Rattus norvegicus: one gene and its partners. The protein of the gene in region 3 purifies or fractionates together with the protein of the main gene of each other region. This does not show direct contact. Links are inferred from orthologs where the notes say so. Each region holds a gene or a part of one and is shown on either strand. Other genes may lie near its edges.

What was found.
Region 1: the proteins of Fbxw8 (region 3) and Cul1 purify together in Homo sapiens (affinity purification with western blotting; 9 studies listed by BioGRID and IntAct, with this or other methods). This does not show direct contact. The link is inferred for Rattus norvegicus from reciprocal best matches to the Homo sapiens genes FBXW8 and CUL1.
Region 2: the proteins of Fbxw8 (region 3) and Ccdc8 purify together in Homo sapiens (affinity purification with mass spectrometry; 3 studies listed by BioGRID and IntAct, with this or other methods). This does not show direct contact. The link is inferred for Rattus norvegicus from reciprocal best matches to the Homo sapiens genes FBXW8 and CCDC8.

Annotation. Positions count from the first base shown.
Region 1 is NC_086022.1:77,617,815-77,620,629, reverse strand, and holds the end of Cul1 (cullin-1), read right to left. Parts: intron 2,186-2,815; coding exon 2,072-2,185; intron 1,144-2,071; coding exon 1,063-1,143; 3' UTR 642-1,062; downstream 1-641. UniProt on the Homo sapiens protein: Core component of multiple cullin-RING-based SCF (SKP1-CUL1-F-box protein) E3 ubiquitin-protein ligase complexes, which mediate the ubiquitination of proteins involved in cell cycle progression, signal transduction and transcription.
Region 2 is NC_086019.1:86,806,128-86,809,878, reverse strand, and holds the start of Ccdc8 (coiled-coil domain-containing protein 8), read right to left. Parts: upstream 2,273-3,751; 5' UTR 1,768-2,272; coding exon 1-1,767. UniProt on the Homo sapiens protein: Core component of the 3M complex, a complex required to regulate microtubule dynamics and genome integrity. It is unclear how the 3M complex regulates microtubules, it could act by controlling the level of a microtubule stabilizer.
Region 3 is NC_086030.1:44,086,629-44,090,313, forward strand, and holds the start of Fbxw8 (F-box/WD repeat-containing protein 8), read left to right. Parts: upstream 1-746; 5' UTR 747-801; coding exon 802-1,113; intron 1,114-3,685. UniProt on the Homo sapiens protein: Substrate-recognition component of the Cul7-RING(FBXW8) ubiquitin ligase complex, which mediates the ubiquitination and subsequent proteasomal degradation of target proteins.

The DNA of each region.
Region 1 (2,815 bases), on a different chromosome or scaffold from region 3:
TGAGAGCCTTCAACCCCTGGCCTGGGCCCTCCTTCCGGGGACATCCTGGGGTGAATATGGCAGCCTCCTTGGAAAAGCTTCACTAGGAGGGACCTGGAATGAGAGAGATTCTCAGTTCTTACCCACAAGTGGAGAGGGCTGACCATCCTCCCTGGTGGTCAGGGAGTTTCTGATAATTCAGATGACTTTGACCTCAATCAGCAGGCAGCCTCTTACAGGTTAGAACCATAACCTGCTAATAATTAGCTGCCACTTCCTGTCACTAATGGACCTTGGGACTATGGAGGTATGTTGGTTCTACTTCCATATTCCAGCTTCCTAGTGGTAATACAGAACAGCTTCTACACCTGTCTCAGTATTCATTTAGTCCCTGCAGAATCGACAGCAGCAATCTGGAGTCGTCTTCTTTCAAACGCCATACTCAATGGTACTCAAAGAAGTCTCAGAAAATAAGGGGTCAGTGCCCAAAAAGATTTAAGGGCTTTAAAAATTAAGATCTTAATTTCCAATCCAAAGAATGCAGCCCTTTTGGATTCCAGGAAGACACTAGGAATATACACTTGCACAATCATTAAATCTTTTATTTACATAATAGAAATTAGTAAAACTTAAAACAAAACCAAATGCAACTTGTACAGAAATCCTTTAATTTTCTTTATTTTCACACATTAAAAAAATGAAACACACTATACAAATGGTTTTCATAGCAGATTACACGTGGGTCCATTCAGACTCGCTCTCGTGTGCTGCCTCAGACGACAGCTGTTAACCAGGGAGCCAATGTATTGATTTAAGTGCGGTAGCATGCAGCCTCAGCATGGAAGGTTCGGTTCCCCTCTGTCTGTGAGTTAGGGTAAATGGCATTGGCGTCTGTTTACAGACTGAAATGTGTCAGTCCTGAGCAGTCCTGCTGTAGCTTGAGACCAGCTGGTGGAAACTGTGGTCTCAGCTTTAAAAAGGAAGGTCCAAATGGTGGCAGGCTGGCTGCTATGAACTCGAGTTGTTTCCACTTTATTCACTGGAACTATCTGCTCGTGGGTCACGGAGACCCTGCTAGATGGGTTAAGCCAAGTAACTGTAGGTGTCCTTCTCACCATCGACTCGCTCCAAATATTCTTTTTCGATGAGAATATCAATGCATTTCTGGGCATTATTTTGGGAAGAAGAGGGAGTTAAGGGGGAAGAGAAAGGCAAATAACCATCAGGAAAGAGGTCTATCTCTCACCAGTTACCCTCCACTGAGCTCAGCAGGGAGCAGATTCAACCTGTCTACTGTCCTGAATGCAGTCCTTCAGTAACACCTATGGGTGACTGCATACACACCCCACCCCAAACTGCCCTATGCATTAAGAAGGCAAGGGCTCTAGCACATCTAGGTCACAATTTCCCTTTTTAACAAAGTGGCTGCCCCTGGGCAGGACTCTGAAGTCACAGGTTAGAAGCACAGGAGGGGTGAGTCAGAACCTGAAGAACAGGCTAGCAATGGTACTAATAGCTCCTGACCACTGAGGACTCACCATGCACTGCCATCCCTGGGTCTCCACTGGCTGAGGCTTACCCAAGTAGTTTCAGAAAAGGAAAGGCCTGCTGAGTTATTGCCAGCAGAAACTAAGCAAATGTGATCATTAGTGCCCTAGATACAGAGGAGTGTGTCCCTGCATGGCAGCAGAAATGGACAAGTATTTCCTAAAGGCAGCCCAGAATGAATCCCTTCATACTGCCAGACAAGTTCTCAGCAGCAGAGAACATTCTCTCTACACTGCTTCCCACCAGGCAAAGCCAGCCAAGGCTGCAGGGCAGCTCACTGACAGAGAAACACAGGGAGGATAGGGGAGGAACATGTGACCTTTTAGATGCCTGTGACTTAACTCCTTATCAGGATATCAATTATAAAAGCATATTTACGACATGTACATCTCTTATATTTACTTCAAGCATCAAGTTGGCTGACTTTGTTGAAGTTTCTTCTAGTAGTAACCCAATTCCCATTTTCAGGAAACAGCCATTAAGCATTTTGCTACAAGTTTCCTAACAATCAGAAGATATAGCTGCTGCTCTGTAATTCCTGTACCTTGATCACTGGGACCCGAGGTTTGAACCTGGAGGACAGCTGAGTGAGGACTTCACCAAGTAACTGCTGGTGTTTCAGAACCTTCCTCATTTTCATGATTCTTACGATGGCCGCCTATGTAATCAACAAAGAAAAACAGGCTTAGAGCATTAACAGCTGAGCATGAACATTCAAGGCAGCCTGTACGCCTCAGTTCTACTCCATGCTGGGATAACAAGTGTCCTACAGGTCAGAGAGAGTGCAAACAATCAGCTCTATATTTCAGCCCTAACAGAACAAACAAAATGTTATAGCCAAGGGGCTAGAGATTGATGGCTCAGTGGTTTAAGCATACTGAGCTCGGTTCCCACACCTACAGCAGTAGCTCCCAACACTCTTGACTCTAGTTCCAGCAGATGCACCATCCTTTCCTGGCCTCTGGGGACACCAGTGCCCCAGGTGTGCCTACATTTAGACAAAACATGTATAAAAAAATAAATGTAAATCTTAAATATTTTGGCCAACTCTAGCACTAAAGAATAAAGAAAAGATGGATCTCTAAAGCTATAAAAGGTACCTACCCTTGCCCCCACTGTCCTGCTTCTTTAATCTGCCATATATTATCTGTTGCCCAATATTTAGGAAGAAGAGTAGACTGCTTTTGTTTGGTACATGACATACTTCATCCCTCAGACACCAGTGTGCCGCTTCAGGCATCTTTGGCCGTTACTAAGCTGTGTCACTCTGGCAGCTCTTTCCAGTTAG
Region 2 (3,751 bases), on a different chromosome or scaffold from region 3:
CACTGTCTTTACCTGTTTCCGGGCTCTAGATCCCGAATCAGCTGAGGCTTCCAGTATAGCTTGAGGTCCAGCCTCCTCCCTCTGGTCATGGAGGACCCCTGCCCTCTGGTCAGCTAGGACCTCCACCCTCTGATTTTCTGTAGCACCAGTGCTTTGGTTAACTGGGCCCTCTGCCCTCTGACTATCTATGGCTTCTGCCCTCTGGTCAGGTAGAACTCCTGCCCTGAGATTAGCTGCAGCTTCTATCCTTGCACTAGCAGCAGTCTCTGCTCTTGGAGTAGCTACAGCCTCTGCCCTTGGACTAACTGTAGCCTCTGCCCTTGGACTAGCTGCAGCCTCTACCCTTAGACTAGCTGCAGCCTCTACCCTTGGACTAGCTGCAGTCTCTGCCCTTGGACTAGCTGTAGCCTCTGTCTTCTGGTTAACTTCAGCCTCTGCCCTTGGACTAGCTGCAGCCTCTGCCTTTGGACTAGCTGCAGCCTCTGCCCCTGGACTAGCTGTAGCCTCTGCTCTTGGATTAACTGCAGCCTCTGCTCTTGGATTAGCTGCAGCCTCTGTTCTTGGATTAACTGCAGCCTCTGCTCTTGGATTAGCTGTAGCCTCTGCTCTTGGATTAGCTGCAGCCTCTGCTCTTGGATTAGCTGTAGCCTCTGCTCTTGGATTAGCTGCAGCCTCTGCTCTTGGATTAGCTGCAGCCTCTGCTCTTGGACTAGCTGCAGCCTCTGCTCTTGGATTAGCTGCAGCCTCTGCTCTTGGATTAGCTGTAGCCTCTGCTCTTGGATTAGCTGCAGCCTCTGCTCTTGGACTAGCTGCAGCCTCTGGCCTCTGGCTAGCTGCAGCCTCTACCCCATGTTCAGCTGCAGCCCCTGCTCCCTGGTTTTCTGCAGCCTCTGGGGGCTCTTCAGCTGTCCCGTGAGCCGAGGGTGGCACCTGCTCCTTCCTGCATCGTCTCAAGGAGACCCACTTGATCTTGGGCTTCCAGCGTCTAGTAATCAGTGTCTGGTCGCTCAGGTCTCCTGTGTTTCTGGAGCTATCATCCAGGTCTGGGCTGGTGTGGCTGTGTCTCATTTCTCCAGCCCTCTCAGCTATGGAGGACTGCTGGGCCTGGCCCACCTCGGAGCCTGATCTGGGCGCCCAGCCTTTCACCCTCTGTTTCAGCTTCCCCCAGGACACCTGGCTGACATACTCCCGCCATCTGTCCCCCTTGGATGGCTGGGGCCCCAGGTTATTCTCAAACATGGGCACTGGAAGATTGACTCGGCGCCGTGGAGGAGGCGCGCTGGGCTTCTTCTCCCCGCGGCGGAGGAAGGCCTCTACCAGCTCCTGATCATCCTCGCTCTCATCGCTGCCCAGGAATTTGCTGCCCAAGTAACTGACCGGCATTTTGCGCACCTTCCTGGTCTTCCCGGAGCCCCTGTTGCCTTTGACTTTGGATGTATCGAAGTCACTCAACTCGCTATCGCTGCCATTGCTGCTGTCGTAAGTGCCTACAACCAGCCGAAGTGGAGGAGTGACCATCTGCGGGACTCTCCTCACTCTGGGCACCTTGGCTTTTTTGGGGGGCTGGGGTGGATGTGGAGTACTCTTTTCGATGATACGAGCCACATCTTCCAGGGTGCGGCCCTCCTCCTGCAGAAACTGGATCAGCCGCTCCCGAAACACAGCCTCCTTAGTGGCAGGCTTGGAGATGACTCTCCACACGCCCCCAGCCAGCCGGACCTCCCGGGGGATGAGCAGATAGTCAACATCCTCCCCAATCTGCAGCATCCCCACCGTGGAGTCCTCCTCTTTGCGGAACACCTTCCCGATCTTCTTGAAGGTGCCCACAGGCCTTAAGGCCTCCACTAACACATCCAGATCGACATCTTTGCAGACGTCGGGGACACTCCAGAGGATCAGGCAATCGGGAGAGGGGAGGAAGCCCCAGGGGAACCATCCCCCCACGTGGCTTTTCTCGAGAGTCTTTAAGATCTCCAGTGTGGACTCCCGAGTTGGGGGCAAGAAGCCCAGGCTCTCTCGGCTTCTAGTCTTGGGGAGGGAGCAGTGGAGGGTCCCAGCAACTCTGCTCACGCAGTGTCGCCTCCCTGTAATTTTCTCTTCAGGCGACAAGTCCAAGTTGGGTTCCCCCAACCCCCTCGGAGTTGTATCAAGGAGTTTTCCAGGATGCTTACATGAACCGAGGCACGCTTAGTCCCGAGGCTCAAAGCTCAGTCCAAACTGGAATCGCCAGTGTCCCTGCTCCAAGTTGGAAACGCACGAGCTCCGATCGCTGCTCCCTTGCCCCAGACACCGGGATGAAGTTGAAAGTTCGTGGGAGGACTCTGCAGACAAAGATGGCTCAGCGTGGCCGTTCAATATGGCGAGGCGCTTAAAGGCCTCCGCCCAGCCCCGAGGAGGGTCTCCCGCCCCCAGGCAGGCCGCCACCCTCTCCAAACTGACCTTGCGCTCAGTCTGCGGTGGAGCTGAGAGCGGCAGGAAGTTTCTGGGCGCCCTCCCCTCCTGGGTGAGGCCCACCTTCTCCTTCTCATCTTACACTCTAAGCCTGGGAAGACTGGCAGCGGGGCTGTCCACTCCCTTCAGGGCAGCCTCCCTCTCCTCCCCCACAGAGGTGTGGCTGTCCCTCAGAGCCTCACTGGGGCCAGGGCTTCTCTTAGCTACAGCCAAGACCCACGTCATCATCCTTCCCGAAAGGCAACGGGGGTCCCAACCTGCCATCCTTGACCCAAAAGCCCAAGAGGTGTGGGTGCCGATGTCCCAAATCCTTTGAAGGCCATTGCAATTATGAATGTCCGTTTAAAATTAAGGCGATGGAACCAGAGAGGTGGCTCAATGGTTAGGAGCATGGGTTGCCCTTGCAACCCCTTAACCTGGATTTGACTCCCAGAACCCATATGATGGCTCACAACCCTCTGTATTTCCAGTTCCAGGGGATCCAACACCCTCTTCCGATCTCTGTGTGCACTTACATACGTGATTTGCGTGTGTGCACAGAGAATACATTCATGCACATAAAAAGGGGGCCCACAAGATAACTCGGTAAAATGGGGTTGGGGATTTAGCTCAGTGGTAGAGCGCTTACCTAGGAAGCGCAAGGCCCTGGGTTCGGTCCCCAGCTCCGAAAAAAAAAAAAAAAAAAAAGAACAAAAAAGATAACTCGGTAAAAACATGCAAGCCTCATGGCCTGAATTTAATCCCAGCATCCACATAAAACCAACTCTATAAAGTTATTATTCAGTCTCCACATGTGCACCCCTACACACAGATTATACACATATAAATTCACACACGATGAAAACGTTTTTAAAATAAAATCTTTTCTTGGGGCTGAAGAGTCGGCTCCTTGGTTAAGAGCACTGGCTGCTCTCTCCGAGGACCTGGGTTCAGTTTCCAGCACCCACATAATAGCTCACAACCATCTGTAACTCCACTTATAGGGAATCCAACACTCTCACACTGATATACATCAAAACACCAATGCACATAAATATTTTTAAAGCAAATCTTTCTCTTTTTTAAAAAGATTTAGTATTTTATGTATTTTTGTACACTGCTGCTGTCTTCAGGCACACCAGAAGAGAGCATCATATCTCATTACAGATGGTTGTGAGCCACCATGTGTTTGCTGGGAATTGAACTCAGGTCCTCTGGAAGAACAGCCAGTATTCTTAACCTCTGAGCCATCTCTCCAGTCCCAAATAAATATATTTTTAAATAAAAAATAAAACATTTTCTAAAAATAAAAAATCTTTCA
Region 3 (3,685 bases):
AGTGGGAGGTAGAGGTTCTTTCCAGAACGTTCCTTCACAGATCCTCCCCCCACCCCAAGACCGCCTTTGGATTTGTAGTCCTGGAAATCTCTGCTAATTTCCCATGGCAGGTTTTTCTGTTTATCAGCTAGAACGGCATTTCCTTAGAGAGACCTTCATGACTACCCTTCATCACTAATTGGCTCCTCCCTCTGTCAATCACGCTGTTATCTGACCTTATTTCTTATATTTCTATATAATCTTACCCGCGGATTCAGACAAGCCCATTAAAAAATGTTTACCTCTGTTTTATGTGAATGTAAATTTTTAAGAAGGCAGAGATATTTATTTGTGTGTGGTATGTGTAGATGTGAATGCTTACTTCAGGATGAGCTGGCTCCGCAGAAAAGAGTGCTTGATGTCGGGCCTGACGACTTGAGTTCAATCTCTGAGACCCCACTTGGTGGAAGGCAAGAATCGACTCCTTGAGTCGTTCTCTGACACACACACACACACACACACACACACACACGCACACACACTCTAAATAAAATGCAATAAAAACTACTACATTAAAAATGCTACCTTTGCAATATGTATACAGCAGCCATTTAAAACCAGGTTTGCGGGACGAAGGAAAAATGCTTCCTTGGTACAAAGGTGGCAAAAGCCAGGGATAGCAGAGCGGAGGGGCGTGGCTGCCCGGAACCTAAGAGCCGCGGTTCCGGAAGTCTCCAGCCGACTACGGACACTTCCGGCGGATGGACAGTCCGTCCACAGCTGGCTGCCCCTGGGTGACGCGTAGGCCTGGGAGCGGCAAGCATGGAGGACCATAACCTGGAGGAGTTCCGCCAGCGCTGGCAGGAGGAATTGGCGCAGTCGCAGGCGCTGAGGCGACGGCGGCGGCTCGAGGCTGGGGAGCGGCGGCCCCGGAGACCGGAGGCGGGAGCGCGCGGCGAGCCGGCCTCGGGGTACCTGGGGCTGGCGCAGGGTCTGCTGGAGGGCGCGGGCCGACCCCCGGCGCCCAGGCCCGGCCGGACCGACAGGAAGGATGTGTCCAGCCGTTCGCGCTCACCCCCGGACCGCGACGCCGCGGAGCCCGAGCCGCTGGTGGACCAGCTCATCCGCGACTTGGTGAGTGACAGAGGCGAGATGGCTTTCCCTGTGGCCCACCCTGTGGGGTTAGGGGCGCAGGTACAGCAGGGATCCTGCACACCCAGGTAATCCCTGGAAGCAGTGGTTCTCCTCTGGCAGCTTTGCCTGTAAACATTTTAGGGTGTTGACAGTAGGTGTGCGCGCGGTCTTGGGCTTGCAAGAGGGTAGAAGAATGCTCGCAAACACCAATGTTCAGGACACCCTCTCCCCACCCCGCAAAGAGAATCCACCCATAAAGGACTGCGGATGAGTTTGAGAAATCCTGCCCTAGAAACGTCCTTAACCTGTCAGAAAGGTTGACTCTGGAGAGGGAGGTTAAGAAAAAGCAGAGGACGGAAATTATGCTCACTTTTCTCTGTATTCTTTGATTTTCCTAACGTAACGTGTTACTTAAAGAAAAATAGCAACCATAAATCAGAAGGAACGAAAGGACTATGGCGAAGAAGAATCCTTTGGTCAGCATTTTTAGGAGGCCTTTGGAGGGCATGGGTCTCTTGGAGAATCAGGAAACCCTTTTCCCCAGCCTCATTTACCAAGTCGATAGAATCAAATCAAGAACCCCTAACATGGATCCATGGCTTTCAGGTTAAGAGTTAGGTCAGAACAGAAGGTTTTAATGGTTTCACTCAAACCAGGTTCAAAGAACATTTCTTTTCTTTTTTTTTAAGTTTATTATATTTTATTGTGCCAAAGAACAATTCTACAGTTCAGTAGGGAATACTTTTCCGTGAGTGAAAGTTGTTTAGAGGAATAACAGGATCAAGCTGGAGAGATGGCTCCGTAGTTAAGAGCGCAATATGCTCTTCTGGAGTTGGGTTTCTGGTACCCATGTCAGGTGGCTCACGACTTCCTGAAACTGCGGTTTCAGGATATTTAATGTCTCTGGCTTCCATGGACACTTGCACACATGAGTACAGCCCCCCCCCCCCAACACACACACACAGACACATACTTTTTTAAAAATGGTTAACTTTATGCAATGGAAAGTTTTGTTTAAATGCTTCTACATTGAGTTTTAAGGCCATCTTTCTTTTAAACGAGTGTCTGGTGCTCTGCCTTGATTCTATAGTAGCCATAATATGAGGTAGATAACTATTTCCTTTTACATACGGACCCCAAGGCAATGGTATTTTTATTTAAATTTTATTTTATTTCTTTTTTTCAATTTGCTTAGAATTACCCAACTGAGAAATTCTGGGGATTGAATTTGGATTCCTGTGTTTTAACTTCACCAAGTGAAGCTTGAGTTCCCCGACCCCCATCCCCCTGGCCTTAGTGTAGGTTCCTGAGTCCTCTCAGACCTGCTAAGCAGCAGCCTGGGGAAGTAGCTCATCTGATGACTGAGAACCCGTGGGGGTTTAGATACCGTCAGCTGTGTAGCCTCTGTGCTGGCTAGTTTTTACGTCAACTTGACACAAGCCAGAGTGACTGGAAAGGAGGAGCCTCAACTGAGACGATGCCTCCGTAGGATTGAGCTGTAGGCAAACCTGTAGGGCATTTTCTTAATTAGGGATTGGTGGGAGAGGGGATGGTTCATTGTGGGTAGAAACACCCATGGCCTGGTGGTCCTGGTTTCCATAAGGAAGCAGGCTGAGGAAGCCAGTAAGCAGCACCTCTCCGTGGCCTCTGCAGTAGCTCCTGCCCCAGGTTCCTATCCTGACTTTCTGCAGTGATGGACTATGATGTGGAGATATAAGCCAAGTAAATCCCTTTCGCCCCTCATCTTGTTTAGGGTCATGGTTTTTATTACAGCAATTAAAAACCTTGACTAAGATAGACCCGAAATCCTAATACACAAGACTTTCCAGCCTCACACTCAGGCAGCACTCCAGAATCAGAAATAAAGTGTCAGGGACCTAGGAGGAAGGTCCAGGGCATACCAGACTCTTAAGTTTCATATGGAGTTGGCAAAAACCTTCCCTGTGTCTTGTCCCAGGGGTGAATGATAGTAGGCTCCTCTGCCCAGCCAGAAGCACCACACTAGGAACTGTTTTGGTTTCTTCTGAGCAGCAGCCAGCTCTCCAATTAGTGACATCTGTACAAAAGAAGACGCCATGGGTCATTGTGTGCTCAGGTGACTGGAATTACACAGGTTGAGCCACCTGACATGGGTGTTAGGAATAGAATTTGGGACCCTTGGATGACAGATTCTGCTCTTAACTATCAAGGTGTCACTGTGTACCTTAGACTGGCATTAGATTCTTTCTTTGCCCCCCAACCCCCGTGTGTGTGTGTGTGTGTGTGTGTGTGTGTGTGTGTGTGTATGAGAGAGGAGGGTGGTTGAGATTTCCTGTAGATGTCTGTGCGCTCAGCCTGCATGTGGAGAGCAGAGGACAGCCCCGGATGTTGACCCTCAGGCACCTCCACATTTTATTTGGCTTGGAGCGTTGTCACAAAGCCCAAGCTAGCTGTCCCTTGCACTTCCAGACATTTGTTTCTTCTCTCTTCCCACCTTCTCTGGTATCTCAGGCATATGTCTTCATGCTTGCCTTTTTCCATGTGTCCTGGAGGTCTAAGCAGGGTCCTTACACTTGTAAGGCGAGTGCCTTAC